Saccharomyces cerevisiae S288C: one gene and its partners. The gene in region 3 interacts genetically with the main gene of each other region. Each region holds a gene or a part of one and is shown on either strand. Other genes may lie near its edges.

The links.
Region 1: mutations in RRT2 (region 3) and PXA2 together harm fitness more than expected from each alone (negative genetic interaction), as found in Saccharomyces cerevisiae (one large-scale study listed by BioGRID).
Region 2: mutations in RRT2 (region 3) and YPR159C-A together harm fitness more than expected from each alone (negative genetic interaction), as found in Saccharomyces cerevisiae (one large-scale study listed by BioGRID).

What each region holds. Positions count from the first base shown.
Region 1 is NC_001143.9:85,617-90,582, reverse strand, and holds PXA2 (ATP-binding cassette long-chain fatty acid transporter PXA2), read left to right. Parts: upstream 1-1,796; coding exon 1,797-4,358; downstream 4,359-4,966. Other genes in the region: FAT3 (Fat3p), read left to right, coding at 1-1,299; HYM1 (Hym1p), read right to left, coding at 4,680-4,966.
Region 2 is NC_001148.4:859,768-862,053, forward strand, and holds YPR159C-A (uncharacterized protein), read right to left. Parts: upstream 649-2,286; coding exon 547-648; downstream 1-546. Other genes in the region: GPH1 (glycogen phosphorylase), read left to right, coding at 1,539-2,286.
Region 3 is NC_001134.8:709,874-713,326, reverse strand, and holds RRT2 (diphthamide synthase), read right to left. Parts: upstream 1,737-3,453; coding exon 573-1,736; downstream 1-572. Other genes in the region: snoRNA-binding rRNA-processing protein ENP1, read left to right, coding at 1-323; chromatin-remodeling ATPase ISW1, read left to right, coding at 1,788-3,453. UniProt on the Saccharomyces cerevisiae protein: Catalyzes the demethylation of diphthine methyl ester to form diphthine, an intermediate in diphthamide biosynthesis, a post-translational modification of histidine which occurs in translation elongation factor 2 (EFT1 and EFT2).

The DNA of each region.
Region 1 (4,966 bases), on a different chromosome or scaffold from region 3:
GCAAAAAAGGCGTTTGCTGCCTTAACCCAATTGATGGAAAATTCGGACAACTCGACAATGGTTGTCACTTCGGTCCAATCTCTAGCTGCGGTGACAAATACAACTCAATCTACTCAACAGCTAATTGGATTAGATGATGTGATAAGCTCCTCGAGTAACACCAACGAAACTTTGTCCATCTTGTCCGAATTACAATCGGGCCTATCCGGTAATTCAAGCTCCGTACAGTACATTCCATATCTCTTCAGTCTTTTAGGGGCATCCACTGATCCTAAAACAACATTTTCATCTTTAGTGACGCTGACTTCCTGGGCTCAAGAAAACCCTCAGACCTTCTTGCCCATTTTAGATATATTAGCGGATGCCAAATCCGTCCAACCGATTTCCGCAGAAGAATTGAACGCCATGACGCCGAATATACTAGAGTATCTGAAAATTCCGATTTACTATCGCTTATCCATTTTCACGCTATGCCATGCTAACCTGGAAAACAAGATCCTAGATTGTAACTCCCCACATGCTGTACAAAACTTGGATTTTAGATCGATTATTTATGACGCATTAGTCACATCAGACTTCCAACCATATCTGAACGCCCTGAATATTAGCGCCAACGATCTTTACCTAGAAGGGAAACTTTTACACAGAGAGCACCAATATGTGCCAGCAGTGAGGTCTGTTTTGGCTTTGAACCTCTTAGCGATCATCTTTTCCTTCTTTACCATGATTTTTATTATATTACTGTACTTTAACAGATATATGTTCAAACAACCATTATGGCTCATTGCCCTAGCTCTACACGTTTGCGTTGGTGTAGCCACTGTATTGGCAGCCATTATCATATCCGTTATGATTGCCATTATAAAGAGCGGTACGGCAGATGATAAATATGGTGTTGTGTTTAAAGCCGGTCCCGCCTATACAGGGCTGATATGGACAGCATTTGCGTTGTCTTTTATCGCCACAGGATTGATAATTTATACGTGGTGGAGGAACAGACGGAGTGGTCGTTACATGTCCGGATCTGTGACGAATAGGAAAGGCGAAATTTACACGTATGGGGATGGTTCTGCCATTTCTGCAGACCGTTTCGGCGACCATAACTTGGGTGATGATGATGATGCTGATTTCGAAAAACAGGTGAATCGTAATGAAATAACCGCTATCGACAACAGTAGTTCTGCCAATAATACAGATGTCACAGGTAGTACGAGTAATAGAACAGAGCTAAGTCACCCCGACGTGACACCAAAAGATTCAAATGGACCTGTTAACAATAATGCACATTTGGTAGCATAATTTTTTTCTTTTTCGTAAATGCTCTATCACTTTTTTTCAATTGTACCAAACCATTTACAGCGTTATCTTAATCTCTTATATTGAATTATAGTACATACCACACCATCATCCTTATTTAATAGCTTTATTTAAATTTCAAAACAAAAATTAATAATAATTTGGTAATTATTCATATTTTTGGAATATATGCAATTAATGTTCTTTCGTCTTTGATGTATATTCCTTCGGCGTTAATTACAACTATCACCGTAAAGTTTTTACCACCCTCCGAAAGATTAAGGGCGGCAATGAAATGTGGAGTAAAGTGAATGTTAGATGATGATATTGATGGCTTTGCTCGATCAAAGATAATATTATATTTAAGTATCATCTTGTCCTCAATCCGGTACAAAACAAACGTCTTCAACATTGTTATCTGTATTTTGTTCGTCTTGAATATGGAAAAGACTCAAAAGGGATAATAATACAATTAAAAGTTACCGAAGAAAGATTTTATAATGATCTCAACAGCTTCTGCATTTTATCAGAAGCATAGAGTAAATTTACTGCGTTCTTCATACATAATATTGTTGCTAGCCACGCTTTACAATTCAAATTCCAGTTCTAGTAACAACAAAACTGATAAGAAGGATTCTGAGTCAACGGTTTTAGAAAATAAGAAAATTGAAGAGGGAAAAGAAACCGCAGTAGATAGAGAGGAAGATGAAAGTAGCAAAGAAGAGTTAACGATAGTCTCCAAACATAGCACAGATTCAGAAGATGGTGCAATAATAATTGATAAAGAAAGCAAGACTAATCATAAGGGGGGAGAGCGAAAAGGAAAGGTAGATTTTTTGTTCAAACTTTTGCTTCATGATAAGAAGTGCCTCATTTTATTTATTACACAGGCTATTCTTCTGAACATCAGAACATTGCTGTCTCTTCGTGTGGCTACTTTAGATGGTCAATTAGTGTCCACACTAGTAAGAGCTCAATACGCAAACTTCACAAAGATATTGTTGGGGAAATGGATGATCCTTGGAATTCCCGCCAGTTTTATTAATTCACTGATCAGTTACACGACAAAACTTTGTGCTGTCACTATTAATAGGAAAGTTTCAGACTTTCTACTCTCAAAGTATCTATCTAATCACCATACTTTCTATTCCGTAGCTTCTGCTGAATCTGTTTCAGAAATTCAGGATAATTTGACAAAAGATATTTACACATTTTCAATGAACTCGTCATTATTACTGAATCAGCTATTAAAGCCAATGCTGGATTTGATCCTCTGTTCATTCAAATTATTAACCTCAAACACTAGTGTTATGGGTGAAGGAACTTTGGCACTGGGCTTAATTGTCTACGCCTCCAATTCATTACTAAAATTGATTCAACCGAATTTCACTAGGTTAACTATGGCAAGCGCATCTTTGGAAAGTTGGTTCAGATCTTTACACTCGAATCTACATTCAAGCAATGAAGAAATTGCACTGCTAAGAGGGCAAAAGAGGGAACTAGAAAACGTTGATTATTCATTTTACCGTTTGGTGCTATTTTTAAACAGAGAAATAAAGGCAAGAGCTATTTATGATGTTGCTACTGCATTTGTCATTAAATATACTTGGGGCGCAGCTGGCTTGGTACTATGCTCGATTCCAATATTTTTCAAAAACAAACCTAGTGAAGACACCTTACAGCTTAAGGAACCCGGGAATGATATGACGGCTGATTTCATCACAAATAGAAGATTATTAGTCACTGCATCTAGCTCTATCGGAAGATTTGTGGAACTGAAGAGAAATATACAACAATTACGCGGTATCAGATTGAGATTGAACAAGTTCAATGATTTGTTGGATGCTAATAAAGGTGATGACGAAAAAGAACCAAGAGATGAAAGGTGTATAGTGGAATATGATGATTCAAGGATAAAGTTTGAAAATATTCCTTTAATAACACCTGCCAATCAAGTTCTAGTACCGGAGCTAAGTTTTGATCTGAAGCATGGAAATCATCTACTAATTATTGGGCCCAACGGTTGCGGTAAATCTTCATTATTTCGTATTCTAGGCGGGCTTTGGCCGATAAGGGCGACTCCCAATAAAAATCATCAATCCAAGTTAATAATGCCGCGTAGAACTGTGGATAGAGATTGCGCAATATTTTATTTACCCCAAAGGCCGTATATGGGCAATAGGTCGACATTCAGGGAACAGATTATTTATCCAGACAGTATTGAACAATTCAAAGAAAGATATCACAATGATTATGATCTAGGCGATGCAGATTTAATAAAAATTCTGCAATTATTAGATTTGGAGGATTTAGTCACTGAAAATATGTCACTTCTGCTGGCGCAAAGGACTTCCAAAAATGATTCACAGCAGTTGTCGACGGAAGACAATCAGTCACCATGCGCCATTAAAGTTCGTGATGCATTCAGTATAGTAAGAAATTGGTCCGAAGAATTAACAATTGGTGTCCAACAAAGGTTAGCTATGGCAAGGATGTACTATCATAAACCCAAGTTTGCTGTGCTCGACGAATGTACATCTGCAGTAGCCCCAGAAATGGAACAAAGGATGTACGAAAATGCGCAAAATTTTGGTATCTCGTTAATATCAGTTTGCCACAGGACAAGTTTATGGCATTTTCATAACTATCTGTTAAAATTTGATGGTAAAGGCGGATACCAATTTGGACCGTTTAACCCGAAGGAAAGGTTATGTAATGAAGAAAAACTTCTTGAACTAAATGCCATCTTGGATCAACAGGTGCCACTTTGGGAGCGGAAGTTGAAAGATCTGACAATTGCTAAAGAATCCAACATCATTCGTAAATCAGAAACTAACCTGAATCTTTTTGAAAAGATCGAAGATCCAAAAACGTCCAAATCTAATGCATTGTTTAATGCAAATAAAGGGCAGCGAATCACATCACCTACAGGGCAGGAGACTAGTAAGAGATTACCACTATTTTCCCAACCATCTAGTTCAGCATCATCAAATTTACTAAGAAACAATAAAAGCTTGAACAAAAAAGTTAAAACAAAAAAGGAAGAAGGAAAGGAGAGGTAACATACATAGCCAAAGGAGGATCCAAATCATGTATAAATTGGATAAATAAATTGTTTTATAATAATTTAATATCTTGAGAAAGCGCTCATATTTACGGTTGATTGCTCAATTCCATGTACCGGATCCAACTGTACTGGCTTCCTCAGCCTCCGGTACCAACCTTTTTTTGTATAAATACGTAAAAATACAAAAGTCTGAACTATTTTTCCCTTTTTATGCAAATAAACACTTTCCTATATATAATTTTACTTTTGAATATTCATGTCACGACCCACTGCCTGAGAACTTTCCATTTTTTATAAAGTGAACCAAGTTTTATAGTTATCTTGAATCAGGTGAAGTTGAATGTGTTAAGATGGATGATTGATTGTTCATTACTGATGATGGAGAAGTTATACTGGCGACGTTACTTGAGGATGCATTATTATTAGAAACTTCTGTTGTGGACGAAATTATACGCGGCAAGGAATCAATTTCTTGAACGATGAATTCTCTTTCATCAAGAAAAGTAGAATCCTGAGAATCTAAACCGAAAGTTTTAAAATACGTCAATAGTTTATCTCTGTTTTTAACAAGAATGTCAAAAACAGGTTTTGACTTCCTTGGGT
Region 2 (2,286 bases), on a different chromosome or scaffold from region 3:
TACAAGCCCTCGGCTTTAATTATTACCATGGTCATAAAAAGTTACTTACAATGCATACATTTTTCTTTTAGGAAGAAATAAAATATAAAAGACTTATCGTTCAAATCGGGTCATAAAGGGAACTAAAGGTATACTAAGGTAAGACGGGGTTCTCATCTGCACGTAATTTTTTATTATTTTTAGTGAGGGAGAACTTTACCTCTAAGATTGTTTATATAGGTATACACATTTTTGTAAAACTGATTATTCGTTTTTTTTTTTGAAACAAGTTATTAGTACAAAAATCAAGCTCTCACTACTTACCAGTAGTTATTTTAGTAGAATATTATTAACTCTACCGAATAAGTACGATATGAGAAATTGCTGATTTACTTGTGTGTGTTCCTATTATTATCCAGGAGCGCCTCTAATCTATGCTTATAATTTTACGTTGAAAAAAAAGGAGTCTGTATAATTATTTCAAATTCATCCTTTTCTCACGGATATTGTGTACCCTATGAGGTAAATAATTGCGCTTTATTTTCTCCCTGTGTTTGCTCGCTCATCTTAAGACGAAAAAAGTAATGGAACACCTACCATCAATAGAAGTACCACACTCATGTAAATAACAAGCGCAAGTGGTTTAGTGGTAAAATCCAACGTTGCCATCGTTGGGCCCCCGGTTCGATTCCGGGCTTGCGCAGATTTTATTTTTTGCTCCCTTCTAAAGCTCTGGATGATTCACCAACTTATCCAAGGCAAGGTCCAACTACCGTTTCCTTCGATGAAAAAGACAATAGGTAGCTCTGTCAAACCCCGTGGAAACGCAAACTCATCGGGAGTGTCCTACTGCTTTCCACTAGTTATCCGACTAGCAAGGCAACTAGTCAAGATGAAACCGTCTCACGAACATTTGTATACGATCTCTTCTCCTGATAGACAATGAAATATACCCCGGTGCTTGTTTCCCACTAAGGAAAAAAGGCCGCTGCCCCACAGCGGGAAGGCCCTTCAAGGGGTAGCGGCATCGCCTAGTAGCACTGTGGGGGGAAGAATACAACGCTCAACGGAAGAGGAAGCTCTGCGAGATGCAGCCAGCACCTTCTATGTTTCAAGGATAACATTTTGAATTAACAAGGAACGCCTTCCCCAATTACCGTTATTGTATTTTTACTTTTTAGAGACTCTCGAGGAAATAAGTAAGGGGTGGATAATTTTCGCTAAAAAAGTTTCAGGGGAGGTTAATAACTACCATGTGCATGCTACAAAGATAAGGAAGGAACACCGACGAATATATTATATGTATAAAAGGAGCATGAAGTTTGTATAGCAGTAAAGCAAGATTCTTTGTGCCTTCCCGTTTCTTGTTGTACCTTTTGTTTTGATTACGTACGAAGTATTATAAGTTTTTTCTGCTTGCTATTGTAATATAAAGTAAGCACAGATTGAGAAGGTAACGATTACTAAAAATATCCAAAAGAAAAACAATTGGATCTTTTTTGACTTCTCTACATTACAATTTCAGTAAAGCAGCTTTCAACTTAATTTAATTTTGAACAATGCCGCCAGCTAGTACTAGTACTACCAATGATATGATAACCGAAGAACCTACTTCTCCACACCAAATCCCAAGGCTTACAAGGAGACTTACGGGGTTTCTTCCCCAAGAAATCAAGTCAATTGACACGATGATTCCTTTAAAGTCAAGAGCGTTATGGAATAAGCATCAAGTCAAAAAATTTAACAAGGCAGAAGATTTTCAAGATAGATTCATTGACCATGTGGAAACTACATTAGCACGTTCCCTATATAATTGTGATGACATGGCTGCTTATGAAGCTGCTTCGATGAGTATTCGTGACAATTTGGTCATTGACTGGAACAAAACTCAGCAGAAATTCACCACAAGAGACCCAAAGAGAGTTTACTATTTGTCTTTGGAGTTTTTGATGGGTAGGGCTTTGGATAATGCCCTGATTAATATGAAGATTGAAGATCCGGAAGACCCTGCTGCCTCAAAGGGAAAACCAAGAGAAATGATTAAAGGGGCTTTGGATGATTTAGGTTTCAAGTTAGAGGATGTCTTGGACCAAGAACCGGACGCAGGTTTAGGTAATGGTGGTCTAGGTCGTCTTGCAGCTTGCTTCGTCGACTCAATGGCAACGGAAGGCATCCCTGCCTGGGGTTATGGTCTACGTTATGAGTATGGTATCTTTGCTCAAAAGATTATTGACGGTTACCAGGTGGAAACTCCAGATTACTGGTTAAATTCTGGTAATCCATGGGAAATTGAACGTAACGAAGTGC
Region 3 (3,453 bases):
ATAAAAAATATGCTTTACCGTACCAGACGGTGGACGACTGCGTGTATTACTTTATGAGGTTTAGAATTTTGGATGACGGTAGTAATGGGGAAGATGCTACAAGAGTACTCCCAGTGATATGGCACAAGGCTTTCTTAACATTTGCACAACGTTACAAGAACGATATTACCCAGGATCAGAGAGATTTCTTGTTGGAAACTGTTCGTCAAAGAGGCCATAAAGATATCGGTCCTGAGATTAGAAGAGAACTATTGGCAGGAGCCAGCAGGGAGTTTGTTGATCCACAGGAAGCTAATGATGATTTAATGATTGATGTCAATTGATGCTGTAATATCAATTTTTCATCAATTTTATATCGCTCGGTCTTTCCCCCTTTCAACAAAGCTTCTGAATCATGTATAATAAGTAGAAAATATAGAGTAAAAGATTATTGTTCAGGCAAGTTCCTTCCTATCAATTCTTTATGCATAATCTATCGAAATCATCAAAATATGGCCTATATATTAGCCTATATATTAGCCTATATATTAGCCTATATATTAGTCCATATATTGCAGACTGAATTTTTTTTTCTAAACTATCCATGTTTGCAAGGAATTATCATAAAATGAGCATGTTGCGATCAAAGAATTTGACCAGTCGCCACCGTAACACATCGAATCATGGCCCTTCTTCAGATAATGTTGAATTTGAAAATACTCATCGGAATTATCATTCATGGTCACCACCTTGGCACCATTGTACATGCAACAAACTAAAAGCCGATCGGAGCCGTTGTGGTGAGATTGTTCCTGATCAATGGGGGATTCAACAAATCTCCAAACACCGCCACCAAGATCACACGCCAATTTATTAACTGTGGGGACATTTGCACCAGGAAATATGGACTCACCCATCATCCTTAAATCCAGAGAACGAATGTTATCATCATAGGATCCAGTTATTATGGACGTGGGTTTATTATTTCGAAAGTTAGGTTGACTACACTTAATGCTAACAACACCAGCATCATGAATACGATTATTACTCCAAATGAATTCTTTGGAACGTAAGTCGTGGGCCATAATTCTCGAATCATCACCTCCTGTAAATACAACGTCTTGAAAAGGCTGTAGAGATCCAAATTCCGCAGTCCAACACTCGAGTTCATGGGGTTTCAAAAATTGTCCCGATTCAACATGAATGACTTTTTCGGTTGCACCTTGAACTTCGTAATCTATTTTATCTAGTTTTGAGTAAGCCTGCGCGATTGCTGATGCCGTGAACTGTACAGATAGTGTTCTTATATCAATGGTAGCTGCTTCGCCTGCCGTATTTGTTACAAGTAATTTCTTACAATCAAGTGGGGAAAAATGGCACGAGGCAATGAGAACATCTTTTTCAAAGAGTTGTAGATTTGCAATTGCATGAATATCTAGTTCGTTTGATTGGAAATCATCCTTATCTGTGCACCGTATCCTCCATAGCATGATATTACCTGTCGAATGGGCCGTGCATATCAATGTATCATCAAAGGGGGATAACTTCAAATCTAGGATTGCGCCATACGTATTATTCGAACATAAAAGTTTGAGGTCCATTGTGAAGACATCCAGTGAGCCTGACCTGTATCCAGTTGACTTATCTAAATCATACGTCCCAACAAGGATGATCTTATTCCTGAATATTCTCAAACAACACGGCGGTAGTTTTGTTTTCACTGCATTTAGTACATCTGATTCTTGAATAGAGTCCATATGTATAGCTATGCAAAAACCAGCTAGAGGTGGATGTAGAAATACCCTATTATGGCCTATATGTTAGCTATTGCAAATTTTCACTTTTTCAAGTTCTATACTAGAATGAGAAAAAAACACGAAAACAATTCTTGCAATGAAAAGGACAAAGATGAGAACCTATTCAAAATTATTCTCGCCATATTTTTGCAAGAAAAAAAAAAATACGATTGTATTTCATCTGGTTCAATTATGACTGCTTCAGAAGAGTACTTGGAGAATTTAAAACCGTTCCAGGTCGGTCTCCCTCCACATGATCCTGAATCGAATAAAAAACGTTACCTGCTGAAGGATGCTAATGGTAAAAAGTTTGATCTGGAAGGCACTACAAAAAGATTTGAACATCTGCTATCCTTGAGTGGTTTATTCAAGCATTTTATTGAAAGTAAAGCCGCTAAAGATCCCAAATTCAGGCAGGTCTTAGATGTATTAGAAGAAAATAAAGCAAATGGCAAAGGCAAAGGCAAACACCAAGATGTTCGTAGACGAAAGACTGAACACGAAGAAGATGCGGAATTATTGAAAGAAGAAGACTCGGATGATGATGAGAGCATTGAATTCCAATTCAGAGAATCACCTGCTTACGTTAATGGTCAATTGAGACCTTATCAAATCCAAGGTGTCAACTGGTTGGTGTCTCTGCATAAGAACAAAATAGCGGGTATCCTTGCTGATGAAATGGGTTTAGGTAAGACCCTGCAAACTATTTCATTTCTGGGATATCTTAGGTACATTGAAAAAATTCCAGGTCCATTTTTAGTCATTGCGCCTAAGTCTACCTTAAATAATTGGCTGAGAGAAATAAATAGATGGACGCCAGACGTAAACGCCTTTATTTTGCAAGGAGATAAAGAAGAAAGAGCTGAACTGATCCAAAAAAAACTTTTAGGTTGTGACTTTGATGTTGTGATTGCTTCTTATGAAATTATTATAAGAGAAAAGTCGCCCCTTAAGAAGATTAACTGGGAGTATATTATCATTGATGAGGCTCACAGAATCAAGAATGAAGAGTCAATGCTTTCGCAAGTCTTAAGGGAATTTACCTCACGTAATAGGCTGTTGATTACTGGTACTCCTTTGCAAAACAATTTGCATGAACTATGGGCGTTATTAAATTTTTTGTTACCAGATATCTTTTCCGATGCACAAGATTTCGACGATTGGTTTTCTTCTGAAAGCACAGAGGAAGATCAGGATAAAATTGTCAAGCAACTCCACACTGTTTTACAGCCTTTTCTACTACGTCGTATCAAAAGCGATGTGGAAACATCCTTACTGCCTAAAAAGGAACTGAATTTATATGTCGGTATGTCTAGCATGCAGAAGAAATGGTACAAAAAGATTTTGGAAAAGGATCTGGACGCTGTGAACGGGTCTAATGGCAGCAAGGAATCCAAAACAAGACTTTTAAATATCATGATGCAACTTAGAAAATGTTGTAATCATCCATATTTATTCGATGGTGCTGAGCCAGGTCCACCGTACACTACGGATGAGCACTTGGTTTATAACGCTGCCAAACTTCAAGTTTTGGATAAGTTATTGAAGAAATTGAAGGAAGAAGGTTCTAGAGTTCTGATTTTCAGTCAAATGTCAAGATTATTGGATATTCTCGAGGATTATTGCTACTTCAGAAACTATGAATATTGCAGGATCGACGGTTCCACCGCTCACGAAG